Linked DNA regions of Anolis sagrei. The protein of the gene in region 2 purifies or fractionates together with the protein of the main gene of each other region. This does not show direct contact. Links are inferred from orthologs where the notes say so. Each region holds a gene or a part of one and is shown on either strand. Other genes may lie near its edges.

What was found.
Region 1: the proteins of ATP2A2 (region 2) and PLN purify together in Homo sapiens (affinity purification with western blotting; 4 studies listed by BioGRID). This does not show direct contact. The link is inferred for Anolis sagrei from reciprocal best matches to the Homo sapiens genes ATP2A2 and PLN.

What each region holds. Positions count from the first base shown.
Region 1 is NC_090021.1:89,031,827-89,042,598, forward strand, and holds the start of PLN (cardiac phospholamban), read right to left. Parts: upstream 5,093-10,772; 5' UTR 4,996-5,092; intron 1-4,995. UniProt on the Homo sapiens protein: Reversibly inhibits the activity of ATP2A2/SERCA2 in cardiac sarcoplasmic reticulum by decreasing the apparent affinity of the ATPase for Ca(2+).
Region 2 is NC_090034.1:42,453,590-42,464,004, forward strand, and holds the start of ATP2A2 (sarcoplasmic/endoplasmic reticulum calcium ATPase 2), read right to left. Parts: upstream 4,618-10,415; 5' UTR 4,053-4,617; coding exon 3,935-4,052; intron 2,072-3,934; coding exon 2,054-2,071; intron 1,963-2,053; coding exon 1,880-1,962; intron 1-1,879.

The DNA.
Region 1 (10,772 bases), on a different chromosome or scaffold from region 2:
TAGTGTACAAAATGATCGAGATGGAGATTAGATCTTTGCCACACTAAGGCCACAATTCTCCATGGGGACAATGGAGCATAATCTAAGGGGTTAGGCAACAATTATGCAATATTACCTCATTAGTGAATTTTAGTATTATGCAACCAAATGTGCATGCACATCTCCAGGTGCAAAGTGCACCATATGTGATGCTAATCATGCAAAATGTGCATGCACATCCATCTTCCATATTTGAGAAGAATGTCTATTTGTAGGTGTACATAAACATGCACAAAACAGTACTCCAGCTATTGTTTTGATAAACCAAGCCCACAAAATAGTTTGTAATGAGTTGTTTAGAGAGCTTACATATGTCCCCTGTTCTGTATGCCTGCAAGAACAGGGAGGTTTGTCAGGCACCTAGCAGTCCCAAATACATATTTGGTGAGCTGTGTTGACCTTAGGTCACAACTTCTGGAGGAATGTTTTATATAAATGCACTCCACAATTTCATCGTGTATATCCATTACTTTTAGCTCAGTTTGATTCTGGATAGATGAAGGGCAGGAGACCATTAGCCATTAAAATATTTGCCTAACTGACACCATGTGTGGTTCTTTTTGGGGGATTTACATTTCTCAAGAATAGACACTGTAATAACAAGGCAGACACAAGTGTTCTCAAGGGACTTGGTAAAAATGGTATTCCTCCTTCTATCCAAATATGGACTGCAATATTTGAAAATGTTTATCTTGCTCCAAGCAAGCTATACTGAATTAAGTACTAGCAGATTAAACACATTTGTTAAACACGGCTTGACACTTCACAGACTTGTCTCATAACTAGTTAACAGAAATGGTTGCATATCTCCATTTTTTGAACTGGCAGCCTTGCAAAAAAAAATGCGGATACTCTTCCCTTCTTGCAATGTTTTAAAATGGAATTATTCCATGAAATTTTCCACCCTCTTTTATTCAGATACATTTGGCAAGGAAAGGCCAAAATAAGAAGCCATACTATTTCTGCTTCATCTTGTGAACACTATATTTTGTAACAGAAACATAATATTTTGAACATGTGATCCTCTTTATGCTGACCACCTTGCTGGAGCCAGCACTTCAAAAATATATTGCTTCTGGATTCACACCCTATTTTTTTTCTTTCATCTTTCTGTCCACTCCCATGGCACTCCTTGACAGAGGACATTTCATTCCCTGCATGGGATCATTACCCCTGGATTTGTTCAAGAATTTAGATCAACATATGCTCAAAACACAAAGCAGTGATGGACTTGGAATCCTTAGCTTGTGTTTTCCAAAAACACAACTTAAACATAAAGTCAATTCACTCATAAAACCATAATGTGTTGGATATTCACAGTGAAGCAGTGTGCTGCCTGTGGAGCCCCGACCATTAAAGGCACTTTATAACAGATCATGTTGTACCCAGCTGAAATATTTTTGTCCCTTTTTAAATGTATATATTCTTTCATTTTATCATTCGGCTGTTTTAATCTGCTTTATAATTCATCTTTTTTAATTATATTAATGTATGCTATGGTTTTAGGTTGTATTTTTGAAGTACCCCAAAAGCTTTAGTTTTGAGGTGAAAGCAGTTTATCCAATTTGGGGCAGAAATGCTGTTAAGTAAATAAGAAGACAAACCTGTTGAATTTATAAAACATTCTAAAATGTCTAAGATTTCAGTGATGTCACTTTTGTTTTGGAAAAATAAAATTGTTTTACAAGAAATTTCCAATGAGGGCTAGACCATCAGGAACTGTGTTAGGTTAACAAAACAGGCAGAGAATCTTGTGGCCCTTTTAAAGAATGTCAGACCTTATTTTTCATATGTTTCCATGGATTGCAACCCACAAAAACTACTGCCAAGTCAAACTTTTTTCAAGGGTGGTGGTTAGGATAGAAAAAGAAATGTTTTTTTTAAAACAATAAAGGGGTCACTGGTGTTGAAAGGAAGGGAAGTGTAGAGAACAGTATGAGATCCTGGGAAAACATGTTTCACAATAGATTATGCCAAAGATAACTTTTTCCCTCTTTAAGGTGCCACAAGACTCCTTGTTTTCTTAGATAGTTTTCTTCCAAGCAAGATCTTAGTTAATAGTGTCCCAATATACCACTAGAGGTCCCCAGTGTACTGCTAATGCTGTCCCAAAGCAGCAGATTGTAAAGGATAGAACTCATTGATAGATATAGCATTTTAATGGTTTAAATAGTCTTTAATGGTGTATTTTATATTGTATTTAATAATCTGGTTTTTATGTATTTGTTTGTCCTATATGTGAAAGACCTATGGTCTAACTACTACTATAATAACGGTTCAGCATATGATGGACCCTTGGTGTCTGATAGGGTTTAGTTCCAGGATCCCTGCGTATACCAAAATCCGTGGATGCTCAAATCCCATTATATACAGTTATGTACCTTATATAAAATGGCAGAATCAGAGTCTGCTGTTTGGATTTCTTTTTATATATATTTTTCAAGCTACTGATGGTTGAATCTTTTTATATGTTTTCAAAGTGTGGGTGGTCAAATTTGTGGATACCGAATCTATGGATACAGAGGTCTGCGTGTACTGTAATTTGAAAAAAAGTAACTCTTCTTTCCTAGCAATTCCCTAATTGTATATTCCCAGGTTATCTGACTCCCATCTGTGTTGTATAAATGACAACAAACATGATTAATTTTCATGTAAGCAGTGGCACTAGTTAGATCAGTTGGGATGAGCAAGAGATGTTCAGTCAAGAGCCTGGTGGTAATTCTTTGGGAAAACGCATCACCATGAGCACCGTGGAAGCATCAGTTATAAGGGACAGGAAATAAACAGAGGTAAAAAGCTTAATAAAATTGAAGTAACAGGGGGATATTTCAGAAGACTGTTGTAAAAAAAACAACAAAAACAGTGTGGTTGTGGAGGCAAAGTTTGATAACAGAAAGATGTGAGGACTTGTGGGGAACGGGACTGAGGGCACTCAAGTGGCACACCTAAAAAGAAGGTGAAATACAATAATAAAAGAAGCTGACGTAAATTCCTAAGAGAAAATCGTAGTGGTTTAGGGGAAAGCTGTAGTTTTCATGTGACTGTAGAAAAACACTTTGTGTCATCATGATAAAATAAGAACAGGGAGGATTTTTTGGGTTTTTTTTCCAAAGAGAAAAGCTTCAGAGTGATTTGTTTTCTACACACCTACTAAAAGTTGTTAAAATGTTGAGCTAGCTCACAGGGACTACCTAGGAAAGAATAGATCTTGGCTCAGAATAAGCATTGGCTCAGATTTTACCCATCACCATCTGAGAAAATGAGATGCTTTGGTATCTTTCCCTGATATTTTAAAAAAAACAGCTATCCATTAAAAAAAAATCAGGGTAAGAAATCAAAACATTAATTTTTTATCATTGCAGTGATTCTTTCTTGGTTCTTTTATATCTTAATAGGAATGTCTTTGTGGAAGTGGATCAGATTTTGTTAGTTTAAGTGTGGGGAAAATAAGCATATTCCACTGAAATTTTAATAACAATTAACAATTTAATAACAATTCTATAATTTTGGAATGGTTTTCAGTTATGTTTTCTATTGTAACAGCAGTAGTGTACTCCTGGCATGCTTATTGTAACCTTTCAGTACATTAATTTATGCGACTGGTCACATATCTTGCAACAGGGGGCAGAAAGGTGTTTGCATTTTATTGGGATAAGTTTCAGAAATGCTCAGTGTTTCCTTTTTCTTAGAATAGTTTTTTATTGGCCCAGTAATAATATGTATCTGTTCCAAGGCTGCAATCCTTTATACATTTTATATTTCAATAACATGTATTTGAATGTAATCAGACTTTCTTCCAAGCAAACACATATAAAGATTGTTTTGTAAATGGATTTAAATGCTTGCCTGCCTTTCTATTGTTGAGACTTATCAGTTTTTCTGCTTTCCCTATTTTTATTTATGATTATAATTAGGTTTATAATTAGGAGGCACTTTTAATGAATCACTTCGTTGGTTGAGAAAAGCATACATTATTCATACAGTTATCAATTTATATTGTATGATATGTATGCAGACAATTGTTGAAATATATAGCTTGTTTATGACATTAGTTGCAAGACAGCACAACACTGAAGTGTTTCCATCCAGGTGACTTTATTGGGATTTTTCCCACTTGCAGCTGCTGGTTACAATCCATAATCTAGGCTACTAGATCTGTGTGACAAGAAAGCCTTTGGGCTTCTGTATTTTAAATACCATCCCTCCCATATGATTATTTGCAGTAGATGTGATATTCAAAGGGAGGGGAAGAAAAAATCCATGAAACATGAGGGAATCTGGGTTTCCTTACGTTACTGTCTGGATCCCAGACAATATTTGTATAAAATATATTGTTGTGGTAAAAAATAATAATCCCCAAACAATAACAATTAATGCTACAAGTGAGTCAGTTACCAAGAAGAAATGTTGAGATAATTGATTTTAATGTTTATGTATGTGTATAGTCTAGTTATGTTTCGGCATTGAATGTTTGCCGTTTATATGTTGTGCTCCGCTCTGAGTCCCCTTTGGGGTGAGAAGGGTAGAATATAAATGCTTTAATAATAAATTAATTAATAAAAAAGGTAATGTATTACCATATTGATTTGCAACAAAAAAATGAGAGACCAGAAAGAAGATGAGCAATATTAAGTATTTCTGCTGTTGTGAATGTGATGATATCTAATAGCTCTCCTTAAAGGAAAAAAAAGTGCTAAAATACAGCTTGACTTAATTTTTATACCATGCTCCTGCCCCCCTCTTCCCAATTTCCCTCTTTTTTCAGAGACATACATGCCGTTTAGAAGTACTTGTTACGTCTGTATATGTTACAAGATAAATCTACAGAGATATAGAAGGCAACTGGTCGGAGTTTTGTATCAGGTTGTTTTTTTCTCAACAAAAGCTATAGATTTAATAGGGTAGTTTAGAAATACACAACTCCTAGTGTGTTAGTAATAAAGCAAATACTCTTACCTCAGGAACTGTTTTACTTAATTGTATGATGCTATTTCCTGGGATATGGAAAGGCGTTCTCTGTCATCGGCTTTGTGGGAACAACTGAAGTTGTTGGAGGGAAAAAATAACAAAAGTTTCATAGGCAGGGCTCATGATGTCATTCAGGAATGTTTCTCTGCTGATTGGTTATAGAAGAGCCTTTATAAGACCAGGGACGTTACAGGGCCAGCCACATTTAGAACAGTGATGTTTAATATTTGAACTATCAGTGGAAGGGGTGAAAAGCCATTTATATTCTTGTAAATTAAAGAAATATGAACAAAGACATGATGATGGATTTTACCAATAATACAGGTGGTGACAGAGTCATTTCTAGTTTTATGGTTTAAGTTCTAATTGTGATGAAAACTAGAATACCTTTTCTTATTTCTTGAGAGCCAGTGTGGTGTGGTGGCTTGGGTGTTAGGCAGGGACACCGGGGTCAAATACCTGCTATGCCATAGAAACCCTCTTGATTACCTTGGGCAAGCCACACTTTCTCAGTCGAGAAAGGCAAGGGCAAATCTTCTATGAAAGAAATTCTGCGAAGACAATCCTGTGATAGGGTTGTCATAAATCAGGAATGATTTGAAGGCACACAACAACTACAGTTGTACTTCCTCTGTTCTGTAAAACTATTTTGAACATTAAAAAAACCCAAACACATGTTTTGCTCTTACAGGTGCTAATGGTGATCATGAGATAGCTCAGTGGACAAGACAGTAGTTCACCATACCATGCAGTTGGCTCTGTACTGCTGCTGTGATTTTGAATGAAGGGGGGAAGGCAATACTCTTGAGGACTTAATCTGTGCTATGAGTTGTCTTCCCAAAGCCTTGCTACCTCCAGTTAAATGAAAAGAGAACAGCTCCTATCACCTCTGACTACTGATAGTGCATTGAATAAATAGGAGGAGCAAAGCTGGCTACACTGACCCAACTCTATATGGGGCTGCCTTTGAAGATTCAACTAGTCCAACGATCGGCAGCCAGGTTGCTCACCAAAGCGACGTACAGGGAACATACAACTGCTTTGTTACGCCAACTCCATTGGCTACCGATCAGCTTCCGAGCACAATTCAAAGTGCTAGTATTAACCTTTAAAGCCCTAAACGGTTCTGGCCCAGACTACCTGTCCGAATGTATCTCCTGCCACGAACCATCATGAAGTTTAAGATCTTCAGGAGAGGCCCTGCTCTCGATCCCACCACTATCACAAACACGGTTGATGGGGACAAGAGACAGGGCCTTCTCAGCAGTGGTCCCCCGCCTATAGAATGCCCTCCCTAGAGATATCAGATTGGCCACTTCCCTCTTGTCTTTTAGAAGGAAAATCAAGACCTGGTTATGGGACCAAGCGTTTGATCAGTGAGCAGCAAGTGGAAGAAGATCACACAACTTATGGCAATGAATTGACCCGGACTGGTTTTTGGATTTCGATTTTAATGGATGTGCCTTAATTAATTGTTTTAATTGTTGTTTTAATTTTTAATATTTTAATGTTTTTATGATGGTAGCATTGTATGATGCTTTTGTTAGGCCACCCTGAGTCCCCTTTTGAGGGGAGAAGGGTGGGGCATAAATATAGGAAATAAATAAATAAGCTGAGAAAAAAGAGGAGAAACAAAATCTAATTTTGCACTTTGGCTCGAATCCCAAGATCTTAGGTAACATCTGGCCAAGATCTTAGGTAACATCTGGCCTATAACAAGTGTCCCCCCACCCATCCTGAAGTGATTCTGCACACCTTAAATACATGCACACATTTCAAACTTAGATGCCTGCTTAGAATAGGAGTTCCTCTGTGGAGATTCTTTGCATGTACCACCACCTGGAGACTGCTACGTTGGTGACTATATGAGACAGGACTTGTTTGGTTGTAGCACTTCTCTTGCACACTTCCCTCCTATGAGAAGATAGTCTGGCTCCATCTTATTTGAACCAACAACCCAAGCCTGCCATGTTTTGTATGGCCTTTGATCCCTAAAACCAGAGTTGACTTCGGGATCTTTTTTGTTGTGTGTGTGTTTAAAACATGTCTTTACATTTCTTTTCATTTGTTATTAAATAACTTTTGATCTGTTTTGATCTGTTGTGAATCGCCTTGGAAACCTTGATGTACTGAGAAGCAAAGCAAATGTTTTAGTCCATAAGACTCAGAAACTTGGCAAATGGATTGCATCTGTTTGGCTGTGCCATATATTCTAGTATGTTGGCACAAGGCATCAGTACATCAGAAGACTTGAATTCACCATATTGTGAAAAATAATAGTACCCAAGTACCAGTCCTAGATGTACATGCCTACATGCCAGACCTCAAACCAATGATCCTTGCAGCCAGTTCTGTTTATGTCACTTAGAAGTAACTTGATCCAGGCCTTCCCTCACAGATTAATAAATGATGTTTGTGATTGATCAGTCATACACATGTGAACTTGCAAGTGTTCAACTGCAGATCTGTAACACCTTGTCTTACTTATCAGCTGTTGTACCAATAAAATTAACTTGCTAGGGCATTCTTCCACACCCACGCATTTTCAGATCCTAAATAATCTATGAAGATATACACCTACAGCTGAATTTTTTTTAGTAACCCACCTTACTTGTTTTTTTGGGGGGTTTTTTTTGTAGTTTTAGAAACACTTTGCCATCCTGCAGTTGATTGTGGTGATTAGAGAAGCCACGGGTAGGTCTCCATTCAAACATTCAAAAGATGCATTGACCTCTCAGGACTTAGATCTGGTGCCCTAGGTTTCCAAAAGATCCCTGTCTGCCTTCAGTGGTTGGGAGTAGGTTTTGGTACCAGAGACAGAAAAAAAAAACAAAGAAATAATAGGGATAGTTTCCTATACAGTACAACAAAAAAGTAGCTTGGACTTATTTCAGCTTGTTTTATATTCAGATCTAAAGATATGCACATATGAAATAAGACAACCAGATCAAGGTAAGCCTTTACACGGATTAAAAAAAAATCATTTAGAATCTTCTAAAAGCATTTGGAATCTAAAGACTGTTTCCAAAATTCAACCAGAGATTATATTTTTTATTCACCAGCCCCCACTTTTCTAATAAATTCTATTCTGGTAGTCAAATTTATAAATTCATGCATTTTGAATAGGCTTGAAGAAGCTGGTGAGGCATATCTACTCTCTCTTTTCTTCTTTTTTCTGCTTACGTATGCCCAGGAATGAATTCCAAATGCAGGTGTTGTTTTCCTTACTTATTGTAAGGAAGCATACAGTTGGATTGTGGAGCTGAATCCTGTTCCTTCATTGTTCAAGCTTTATTGCATTGTTTACTACAGATATGATTCTGGAACCCAACAGTAAAAGTTTTGTTTTTCCAGCTGTCATTCCCATTTCCAGGGCTACTAAAAAACTTTTCACTGGGCAGAGGACAAGGAAGAATAGGGGCTGGGCAGGCATAAAACAACTTTGTAAAAAGTCGTTTCTTTGTCAGGGACTTTGTTTACTGACATATGCCTGTGTTGTAAATATTTCATAACATCAGCTTGCATAACTATTCTCTTATCACCTGACATATAATGTTAATGTTTTATCCAGACCTACTTCCTGGAGTAGATTGCAAATAAATGTTCCCCATCCGTGACTACATTTGCTATTTGCAAAAGGTATGTGTGTATAGCCTACATTTTATGGAAAAGAGAGAAAACAACTTTCTGAAGATGAGTCATGAATTCAGAAAAGATGTCATACATTTAATTTCTTGGGAAAAAACAGAAAATTATTAAATGACTTTGAATGCTTGCATATATATAAACAGTATATGTGTGTAAACTTTGGGTCGGTTTCCTTTTTCTTCAAGGGACAAATATGTGCAGCTGCTGCTTACATGGCCTTAAATGGAAATGATCTGGGCTTTCTCCAGAGGGATTAGGAATCTACCACTGGAGATGCTTCTCTTTATTTATTTAGAGATCTGGTAGAAAACTGAAGATCACATGTAAGAAGGAAGTCTTTTTGTACCTTGTTATTGAAACATATTTGGCATAATTACAGCAAACATTTAGTATCACATTACTCCACTCAGAATGTTGTGATTCCACACCTAGAAGTTGCTGTTCTCTCTGTATGCCCAAGACCTCTGGTTTGCGGCACCAGTGTTCAAATTTAAGTGCTTGTTGTGGGAGCCATAAAGACAAGCTGTTTTTGTAGGCTTAAACCCTTCGCATCACATGTTGAAGAATATCAATATGGATTAGAAGCCTTATAATCAACTTAAGAATTTCTTGGTGCATCAGAATAAGCAGTTTCATGTATTTGTGTCTGTTACGGAATTGAGACCTGCCTTAAGCACAGGAGGAAAAAGCAGCCTACCTCATGAGACTGTAATAACGGTATTATTCAGGTGAAGGCATGTTTAACGTTAAGTCTGCTTCAGTTTACATAAGTGGTTGCTGTTTGACAAATTAAGCACCTGAAAAATAATAAGTATTATTATCAATATTCTGAAAAGAGGCAATTTTAAAGATGGTCTTGGGATTGGATTTTTAGCTGTGTCTGAGTTTTCTTATTTGGTTCTATCATTTCTTTTCCAGGCTGCTTTCCTGATGAGATCCTTGGTTTATTTAAAGTTGCCTTTCTTTTTTAAAAAAGCACAACAATTTATTGCTTTAGAAAAAAGGAAAATATTCACTGGGAACACAACCAGAACATTTCGTTGACTAATAACAAATAAGACCAAATTTAGAATGTTATGCTAGAGTGTGAGAATGCTATTAATTCTTTGTTCTATACCCTGGACTAGATTTGAAAGAATGTGAAAGATAATATGCAAACATAATATTTCTTCCCCCTGTAGCAAAAAAGAGAAGAAAACACTGAAAATCATCAGTACTCTGTTTTATTGTGAAGCTGGAAATTGATATTAAGCAATACTTTTCCAGAAGTTTTCTGATAAGTTTGGTTTTCAAATAAACTTTGATTGTTTGTGTAATTATTTTATGTGTATGTGATATATGTGATCTTTTTGTGCTCAATGCTTCATAATCCCCCTTTTCTGTTCATTAAATATGTGTTTTATTTACAGCAATTAATGTTTGAACATGTGTAATCATGGCAAGATTGAGATAATCATTATAGAATTCATATATAGAAAGGATATAATTAACTTGTAATCAGAATTATGAGAATAGAAAAGTGCTTTGGAAATCAGTTCAGGACTCCTTGTGCATTTGAGAGTCAGGAATCTATTAAATTTTACCTCGTTGCTGGCTAATTCTACATTTTAATAGCATTTGGATTTCTTTGTCCCTGTTTAGAAAACTTGTAGAAACAAAGTTGAACACTTGATTGTTTGCATGAACTGAACAATATGAATTCACAATCCTCTTCTACTCCCAACTGTGGTGTAAAATGTTGCTGTAGAAAACATCACATATTTGGCAAAACAGCACTAGTTGATGTGCTAAGAGGCTTGTAACTTCAGAGCTGTGTTGAGTGTTCTTCTGATAAACTGTTCCAGGAAGCAGTGAGATTAGCTGTGTTCTTTGACATGTTATGAGTGCTGGATGAACGCAGAGGCAAAGGCATATGAAGGGGAGATAAAAGGCTGGAAAGCCAGTTGGGGTACTCTTCTAGTAACCAAGAATTTTGGAGCTGGATTATCTCCACTTTAACAGCAATTATAGACTACAGGCCAAAGATCACATTTGTCACTCAAACTGTTAGAGTTTTTAAACCATAGTTAACATTTTTACAAAGAGAGCATTCTAGTTTTGTCCAGCTATGTTGAATA
Region 2 (10,415 bases):
TCAAAACCTTGAATTTGTATTGTTTGAAAAAGGAAACGGGTACTACAAATACAAGGCTTTGAGTAGCATAAGTCTCTGGTCAGTTTGCTTACTAATTCTACTTCCTATTACCATTCAAATTACAAATACATGAGCATGTACAAACCTTTATTTCCCATCACTCTCTACTGGTCTCCAAAATATATAAATCTCAACTCACACTTAAACAGATGCCCCATAGAACAAGCTGCTCATTCATTCAAAAAATGGTAACTCCATCACAACACAGTTCTCCTTGGTAATGAAAAAAAAATCAGAATGACTAAGCTGCCCGTTTTCACATGAAGAAACAGTGCCAACTTTTGGCTGGCTACAGTGATGCACATGTACTAGAATTGAAGCTTCATTTCTTTGAAATAGCATGCCAGCGTCATGACATCTGAAACCTTCACTGGGCAAGAATTAGCAACATACTACACCACATAACTGTACAAGTGATGACCCTTCTCTCCCGCATTTTTATCGTTCAGCATATCCCCACCAACTTAATACCTCTTCTAATGGTAAAACAAGACTGGGTTACATTGTGAGGTTACTTAGAAAGCTGCCATATATCAGCAGCACCTGGAGGAGAGCCAAGGTAGAAATTCCATATGAGCCAGGGCTGCTGAATGTGAAAAAGGACTTCTCAACCTCCATCTACCATCACAGCTTCTCAGTCTTGCTGAAATGCTGTTGGCATTTCCAGCAATCTATCATTTATTCTGTGCATGAAGCACAATGGCACATGCTTAGATGTGCTCAGGGAGTCTTCCAAATCCCAGCCCACTTTTCATTGTACAAAGCTATGGATATTATTCATCTCAATCTCCCCCTTTACACCATCCTTATCAAGTAGACAGGTAGCAAGATACCCTTGGCCAATATGAGCCTTAAGGATACAGCAGGTATTTGAACCTGGGCCTCTTACAATCAAACAATACATGTTCAGGTGCATCATGCACATCTCTGCATGACATTTCAGCTCCAACTTTATTGCTTTTTAAAAAGAAATCTGTAGTTATTTCTTTTTCAATATGTCGGAATGTGAATGCCTTAACCGCCCCCTATTCTATTTTGATCTTTCTTCATATGTATCATTCCTCCGCAATCACATGTTTGGCACCATGCAACATTAGCTCACTTCATTACTTTCTTTCTTTAAAAAATCAAGACCCCAGAACTAGTTTTACAGTCTCATCTACCAATTCAGAATGCAAGGCAAGGAGTTTATTTTACAAGAGGCTCCCCAAAGGTCAGTTACCAAATTTGGTCAACAATGGTGCCATCACTGCTGTCATCATTCTTGTCACTGTCAAGAGCAACAACTGTCACCTTGCTATTATCAGCAAGAGAAGGCAACTGGAATACTCCCCCCATGCAAATTCTATTTACAGTTTGCATTGCATCCAAAAAAAGACAGCCAGCAGTCCCTGTGAGTTTCATAACAATCAACTGCAAAAAGAATGCTAGTTCACCTTCTTATTGGGGGCAAGGTTAAAAGGCAAGAAAAAGCACTGAAGAACCTGTCTCAAATATCACAAACTCAATAAGACAGATGAAAATATTTATCCAAAACTAGCATTGCACACATCTGGTTTAACCGGTATGTAAACTCAACCCCATTCTAAGCGCACCTTTGCATTAAACCAATGTTCACTAATATTGAACTTGCTTTGAGAAACAATGCCTTGTCCTAAAATTGAGAGGTTATTTTTCCAGACAGGAAACTTGATGCTCAACCTAAGGCTAATTTTTTTTTTTGGGGGGGGGGGGGGTCATATTGCACCTTTAATTTTAACTATTTTTGAGAAACTTCTAACATAAATGTGGGAAAGTATAGATATAAGAAGATACTTACAAAAGATATGCATGCCGCCAGCAACAAAATTCTAACTAACAAATCTTCAAACTGTTCGATCACAAGCTCAAGTAAAGTTTTTCCTGCCAATATAAAATGCAAATAAAAGTTGTCAATGAAATACCAGTAAAGGGGATGGCATAAAGAGCACACATATTTCAAGAGCTTGCTTACCTTCTTCAGCTGGTAATTCTTTATGAGGCGAAGGTTTCCAGAAGGCATGGGGGGGGGGGGGGGAGGAATCAAGACAAAGATATTTAAAATAAGGGTAGCAATCATTTATCTTAGATACTGACAAACATTTACATTAAATCAAACATCACACACAACGCAAATGCTTCTTACAATGACACAGGCAGAGAAAGCCTCGTGCTTCCTATATTGTAGTATGCTTCAGCATCAAAGTAATGAGGTTACCAATTCAGCCAAGTCATCACTGCTGCTAACCATAACTTCTAATGCAGTTCAAAGGTTTCGAGCACTTCCCTGTCCCCACTTTCTCTCTAGGTCACAACCAAACATGGATTGACATGCCTCCACCTTTAATTTTTTCCCAGAAAGGAGAAGGGACAGAAGAAATTATGCCTATGTGGGATAACTCCCCATACTCCTGCCCTATAATTGGGTCCATCTTTGAAAGGGGAGGGAGAAGAATAGATAATTAGAAATATGCCTATATGAAATAATGTCCCATCCTCCTGCCCTATGATTGAGTCCCTCTTTGAAAGTGGGGGGGGGGGGGGTTGATAATTAGCAATATGCCTATATGGAATAACCTCATCCTGCTGCTCTATGATTGAGTCCCTCTTTGAAAGGGGGGGGGGGAGGGCATAAGAAATGAGTTAGCAACATGCCTATGTGGAATAACTCCCCTGTTCTGTGATTGGGTATCCCTTTGAAAGGGGGCAGAAGAAATGATAGTTCTCAATATGCCTATGTGGAATAACTCTACATCCTCCTCTGCTATGATTGAGTCCCTTTTTGAAAGGGGGGGGGGGAGATGAAATGATAGTTATCAATATGCCTATGTGGAATAATTCCCCATCCTCCTGTCCTGTGATTTAGTCCCTCTTTGAAAGGGGGGAGCAGGTGAAAAGATAGTTATCAATATGCCCATGTGGAATAATTCCCCATCCTCCTGTCCTGTGATTGAGTCCCTCTTTGAGAGGGGGGGGGGGGCAAAAGAAATGATAGTTAGCAATATGCCTATATGGAATAACTCCCCATCCTCCTGCCCTGTAATATATACCCTCTTTGAAGGGAGGGGGGGGGGAATAAATGATAGTTAGCAATATGCCTATTTGGAAAAAATCCCCATCCTCCTGCCCTATGATTGAGTCCCTTTGAAAGGGGGGTGCACAAGAAATGAGTTAGCAATATGCCTATATGGAATAATTCCTCATCCTCCTGTCCTGTGATTGAATCCCTTTGAAAGGAGGGGGGAATAATGATAATTAGCAATATGCCTATGTGGAATAATTCCCCATTCTCCTGTCCTGTGATACACTCCTTCTTTGAAAGGCGGCGGGGGGGGGGGGCAGAATAAATAATAGCAATACGCCTATATGGAATAATTCCCCATCCTTTCCCTCCTTGAAAGAGGGTTCTCCAACACATCATCAGGGATATGTTTGTTTGCTTGCCCTTTGGAAAAGACATTGAGAACGACGTCGAACAGGAAGAAGGGGCTGAGAGGAGGAGGAGGAGGAGGCCAAGAAGAATCCAAAAAAGGGGTGGCCTGAGTCTCGGGAGAGGGCCTCGGAAAAGGCCGGGAGGGAAGGCAAGCGTGGGGCTGGCAGGCGAGTGGGGCAAGTGGCCCCGAGGCGGGGAGGAAGGGAAACCCACGAGGTGGCTCGCACCGTCAGCCATCTTTCTTTTTTTTCTTTTTTCTTTTCCTCCTCCACTCCTTCCTCGTCCCTTTTCCCCCCCGGGTCCTGCTGGTGGAGCCGGGCCCAGAGGAGAAGGGGGAGGGATGGGGGGGGGGGCTTCAAGGGGATGGAGAGGATCTCCTCCCCGCCCTCCTTCCCTCGGGGCATCTCCCCCTGGAAGCCTTACCGTTGGCGCCCCAGCGCTCCTTGAGCTTCTTGACCTGCTCCAAGCTGAGCCCGGTGCTCTCGTTGACGCCGAAGTAAGCCAGCACTTCCTCCACGGTCTTGGTGTGCGCGTTCTCCATGGTGCCGGGAAGGCTCTCTCCTCTTCCCAAAGGGCGCTTCCTCCTTCCTCCTCCTCTGGCGGGCGGCGGCGAGAGGGACTGGCTCTCCTCCCTCCGCTCTCTGCCTCTTCTGGCTCTCTCCTCTCGCGGGCCCCTCGCTTTCCCGCCCCTCACGGAGCCCCCCAAGCCCTGGGCCTGGCCACCATGCGGGGGGTGCCCAAGCGGGCGAGCCGGGCGGAGAGGGAAGGGAAGAGCTCCCTCAAGGAGGAAGAGCCGCTGCCCCTGACAGGACTTGAGCTCGGCTGGAGGAGATGGAGGCCGCTGCCAGGCAGGCGCCAAGACGCGGCTGCCCTTCCTTCGAGGGAAGAGCGAGCTGAGCAACGTTGGGTGCCGCTTCCGTCCTCTCTCTCTCGCTCTCTCCCTCGCTTCCTTCCTCTCTCTCTCTCTCTCTCTCTGTCTGTCCCTCCTTCCCTCCCTCGCTGAGCCGGCCTCGTCCGCTCTAATAGAATTTATTGGAGCCACCTCGCCGCTGCCCCTCTCGCCGCCGCGGCATGTGGACGACGCTCATTGGCCGAGAGCTTGGAAGCGGCAGCGGCGGAGGGAGGTGGGGAGGAGGAAGAGGAGGAGGAGGAGGCGGCCCCTCCTCGTGACGTCACTCCCCCAGCCCGACGCGGCTGAGATTTCGCCACAAGCCGGCAGAGGAGGAGCGGAATGAAGGCCGGCTAATAGACATCCCTGAAGTCTTTTCTCTTTTTTTTCATTGCCCGCCCGCGCGTTGATTTTGCGGCAGCGCTGATGGAGCTTTCTCGTCCGCCGCTTGGGAAACGGCGCCGGCTGGAAGGAGTGGACGCGGGCGGGCGCCGAAACCAAAGGTTTTTTTTTTTTTGTTTTAATCTAAAGGAAGTGTCTCAGGCGTTAGCGGGCGGGCTTTTTCCCCCAGAATGTTTTCCCCAGAATTGGGGGAAGGGAGCTGTCCCTCGCCTCTCCTGACGTGACATTGATGGCTGTTGGCCTCTCTCTTTCAGCCCCCCCTGTGCTAGTCGAGAGGGAGTTCTTTCCAGGTCAAGGGGCTGGCCAGCCTGCCTGCCTGCCTCCCCTCCCTCCCTTCCTTTTTGTGTGGCTCGTGCTGAGGGGAGGAAGGAAGGCCGACCTCCCTCGGAGGAGCACTTCAGCCCACCACTTAGGACACCTTTGGCCACGCTTTGGCCTTCTTCTCTCGGCCGAAACTTTATTTCTTTTGATCCCACATTTCTGCCATGGGTGGGATTCAAAGCGACATACAAGACTAAAACAGTCAAAAGAAGCATAACATACGCATTCAACAAAAAACACCATCAAACCAATCGAAGAATAACACAATGCATACCATATATTTCAACCAAATTCATAAATTACAATATCTATCCATTCAAAATTGCCTAAACCTCAGACAGCTGAGTTCGCCTGTAAAAACAATTGAGTTAAGCTCGTCAAAACTCCATTTTTCTTTCGGTCGTATGAAAACATTGCCAGGTCTAAAATAGCTTCTAAATGGACATAACCACAGCTGTTTGGCCATTACCTATTTTAGGGGGTCAGGAAAGGCCTGGTCCCACAAAAAGGTTTTCATTTGGGTACAAAAAGCCAGTAAGGAGGGGGCCAATTGCTCCTCTCTAGGAAGGGAGTTCAAGAGCTGCGGGGCCACCATCGAGAAGGCCCTCTCTCAAGATCCCACCAATCACATTGTGACAGTGGTGGGACAGAGAGAAGGGCCTCTCTTGATGATGTCAGGCTTGTGTGGGTTCGTAGGAGGAGATGCGATCTCTCAAATAGACTGGGCCCGAACTGTTTAGAGCAGACATGGCAAACTTGGGCCCTTCAAGTGTTTTGGACTTCAACTCCCACAGTTCCTAAGAGCTTCAGGCCCCTTCCTTTTCCCTTTCCTTTTCCACTTAAGCGGCTGAGGAAAAGGAAAGGGCCCAAGGCTGTTAGGAATTGTGGGACTTGAAGTCCAAAACACCTAGAGGGGCCAAATTTGCCCATGCCTGGTTTAGAGCTTTATACGCTAAAACCAGCATCTTGAATTGTGCCTGAAAACAAACTGGGAACCAGTGTAGCTGCTTCAGGAGCAGAGTAGTTCTTTTCCTATATCCTGTCCCCATAAGCAGCCTGGCCGCTGACCTTTGAACCAGATAAGTTTCTGAACGCACTTCTGGGGCAGCCTCTCTCGTACAGTGTATTACAGTACTCTAACCTGGATGTGACTAAGGTGTGTACTACTATGGCCAGATTGGACTTTTCAAGGTATGGGTGCAGCTGGCACACAAGCTTTAACTGTGTGAAGGCCCTCCAAGCCACCGCTGACACCGGGCCCTCCAGGGTCAGCAATGAGTCCAGAAGGACCCCCAGACTGTGAATCTGTGCCTTCAGGGGAAGTGTGACCCCATTCAGCACAGGTTGCAGCCCAAGACCCCAATCAGCCCTATGACTGACCAGTAGTATCTCTGTCTTGTCTGGATTCAGTTTCAACTTGTTTGTCCTCATCCAGTCCATCACAGCTGACAGGCACTGGTTCAGGATCAGGACAGCAACGTTGGCATCAGGTGAAAAAGAGTAATAGAGTTGGGTGTCATCTGTGTACAGATGGCACCAAACTCCAAAACTCCTGATGATCTCTCCCAATGGTTTCATGTAGATGTTAAACAACATGGGGGCAGTATTGAACCCTGTGGGACCCCATAAGACAAAAACCATGGGGTCGAGCAGGAGTCCCCCAGCACCACCTTCTGCACCCGACCCTTTAGGAAGGAACAGAACCACTGAAAACAGTGCCTCCAATTTCCATTCCATTGAGGCAGTCCAGATACCATGGTTGATGGTATCGAACGCCGCTGAGAAGTCCACCTATCTAGTTCTCTTCGCAGATCCTCGACCAAGGCGACAAATGCCATCTGAGTCCTGTAGCCAGGCCTGAAACCAGACTTGGATGGACCTAGATAATCCATTTTTGGTTTTTTAAAACTTTGTTTTTTTCCTGAGGTGCAGGGTTGGTGTTCTTCTTATCCTGCTTTTCTCCCTGTCAGCGTGGAACACCATTTTACAGGATGAAAAAAATCAGCAAAAAACAAACTTTAAAATGGTTTTTTTTACTTTAAAAAAGTGGTACGTTTTATTGATTAGCCCATTGTCCATATCAAAACACTTGACAAACACGCTTGACACATACACATACAGCCTACAACCCACATTACAAAAGGTAAAATAAACAAGCTTTTAACAAGGGATCTAGATCCAGATCCAATATCTGCATCACCCCTACAATTTACCCCAATCGACTCCAAATATGCAGTTCTCAGCAGAGTTGCTTTATATCTAAAAAAGAGCTGTTTTGTATGCTACTTTAGCATTCTGGCTGGCCAATAAAATGTAGTTTTAATATAAGGACTCCAGTGTGTCCTTTGTATAATGAATAATAATAATAATGATAATAATAATAATAATAATAATAATAAACTTTATTTGTATTCCGTCCTATCTCCCCAGGGGGACGCAGGGCGGATTCCAACAAAGTAAAAAGGCAAAAATTTAAGGCCTTGATAAAACAATAGATACAAATACAATAAACAAACAGCAGAATCCCAGAATAAACCCACATCTAAAACCAAATGATAACAATAACACACAACCTAGAATTAAATAATAACATCACCTAACAATTAAAATTATACCTAAAATAAAAACATAAAAACAATATGTAAAAACCACCAAAATTCATGTACAATATTTAAAATTAATTTTGTGGCCAGTGATGTCTGGCCACATAATTATGATCCCGGGAATTGTGTGATCCGGGGAATTGGTTTCTGTCTTATACAAGTTGCAGCTAAAAAGTACACGTGTGATACCTTCTATGTCTGATGCTTCATGGATACAAAATTGTTCATTATATGGAACTTGGTTGAACCTTCCATGTTTGACCATTGTGTTCAGCTGTTCAAATCTAGTTGTGGTAAATACCCTCCTGAGGTGTTTAGGCATCTCTCTCTTTAGATATTGGGCTGTTTGAAAAGTATGTTTAAAACGACTTAGCCATTTCAATGAGCTGGGTTTACTGAGGGTAGCAATGTTTTTCTGAGCTTCAATATTCAGTATTGGTTGTGCAATAATTTTGGATCTCATTCCTCCAAGATTAGTGATTCCCAACCTGTGGTCCGTAGACCACCATAGGTCCCCAAGAATGAAAGGATGGTCCGCAGCCTTACCATTATTACACTGTTGCCTCGAAACCATGCAACAACGAGAGCAACTGGTCTTGCAAAACCCTCTTATTGTGCTGAGGCAACTGAGATGTCGGGAGGGGAGAGGCTGACTACCCATGAAAGATTACTACTACCACATCAGCTCTAGATTATTAAATATGGTTTTCTGTAAGTGAACAGATGGTGACTACTGGGTGGCATATGTTCTGTATCAGAGCTGATGTGGTCTATCCAATGCAATTTTCTGAATCAGCACCACAAATAACCAAACCAAATCTAAAGTTGACCGAACTTTTCACAGGAAAGGAGACAATTCAATGGAAGATAAAGCTATAATGGGAGGTAATAATAATAATAATTTTATTTCTTCCCTGCCACTCCTCGTAGCTTGAGGTGAGTTACAACTTCACTAAAAACACATAATCATATAAAGCATTATATAAAATACACATATTAAAACATATTTCTACAAATTACCTATTAAAATGCACAGAAAAAAATTAAACAAAAGTTTAAAATTTGTGATTAAAACTGGCTGGGTAGGCCTGCTGGAAGAATGGGTCTTCGGATGTGTTTTAAATTTCGACAGCTCATTGAGCTGTGGGTGCTCTTCCTTTGGCATGTCCTTCTATAATCTTCTTGGGCGGCCATTGAAAAGGGTCCTCTGGGTGGCGGTTCTGTCGGTAGCCTGGACCCAAACCATGTAGACCTTTAAAGGTCAAAACCAACCCTTTGTACTTTGCTCAGAAACTAATTGGCAACCAGTGAAGTGACTTTAAAATATGTATAATAAGCTTACTCCTAGATGTTCCCATAATCTAGGTGCTGTATTTTGAACTGGCTGGAGTTTCCAAACTTGGTACAGATGTAGCCCAACGTAAAGCACATGGCAGAAGTCCAGCCTTGAGGTGACCAGTGCATGCCCCACCATCTTTAGGTCCTCCACATCTAGGAGGCGCAGCTGGCAGATCAGCCAAAGCTAGTAGTAAGCACTCCTGATCTACTGGGGCTGACTCAGGAGCCCTTGTCTCAAGCTAGAAACACAAGTCTTTCAGGGGGCATAGGACCACATCCAGAACTGGTTGACACACCTCCATCCCCAAATTAGGACCCTTGATGGGAAGCCCCTCTGCTTGGTCTGATTCAATTTCAATGTGTTTTTCCTCATCCAGCCCATTACCTCCTCCAGGCATTCAGAGGAGACGTGTTATCCTTAGCTGAGACTGTTTAGAAAGGCATGGAGAAATATATTTGGGTGTCAACAGACTGATAATACCCCACCCCATGCCTCCGGATGATCTCTCCCGGTGGTTTAATGTAAATGTTAAAAAGCATTGAGGATAGATTGACCCCTTGTGGGATGCCACATCACAGCTCCCTTTTGGAGGAGCAGCAATCCCAGGTCCAGCTAGGTAAAGCTAGCTGGCTTCAGAGAACTGGTGTGTTGTGTGGTTTGGAGTGCTGGACTAAGATTCTGGGAGACCTGTATTAGAATCCCTGCTCTGCCATGGAGATTCCATGAGTAACCTTGGTCGAGCTACATTTTCTCAGCCTCAGAGCAAGGCAATGGCAAGTCATGCCAATGACCCCCTGTGACCTGACCGGCATAAATTGTAAAATGACTCGGAGGTATATAGCAACAAAAGCTACCATATATTGCATCCTTCGCTGAAAAGAAAATGCTTCCTAGTGCCATTTGCTGTGGAGAACATGAGTGGGAGAGTGCTCTTGTCCTTGTGCGCTGCTGTGAGATTAGAAAACAACTAGATAAGGTTACAACTGATTCAACATGGCTCTACTTAGGCTCTGAAGATTGTGTCCCAACCTAAAATAACACCATTTATATTATCATCATTATCAGTAGTAGTAACAGTTGAAGTACTGTAGGAGCAAATTGGAACTGAAAGGTCAAATTATTGTGTGGGAGGGAGTTCTGTGTCGGAAAGTGCTACTCTAAGCCTTACACCCTGTTCTCCTTTCGCCAGCAGGTAAAACCCTTTTTATTTAAACAGGCATTTGAGGATTTGCGCAGAGCCTTTTATATTTTTATTTTCATAGTTTGGTTTTTAAATGATTCATTTTTTTTTGCAGATTTGTGGGTAATGTGATAGCTTGCCTTAACTGCATTTTTGCTTTTTTAAGCTCC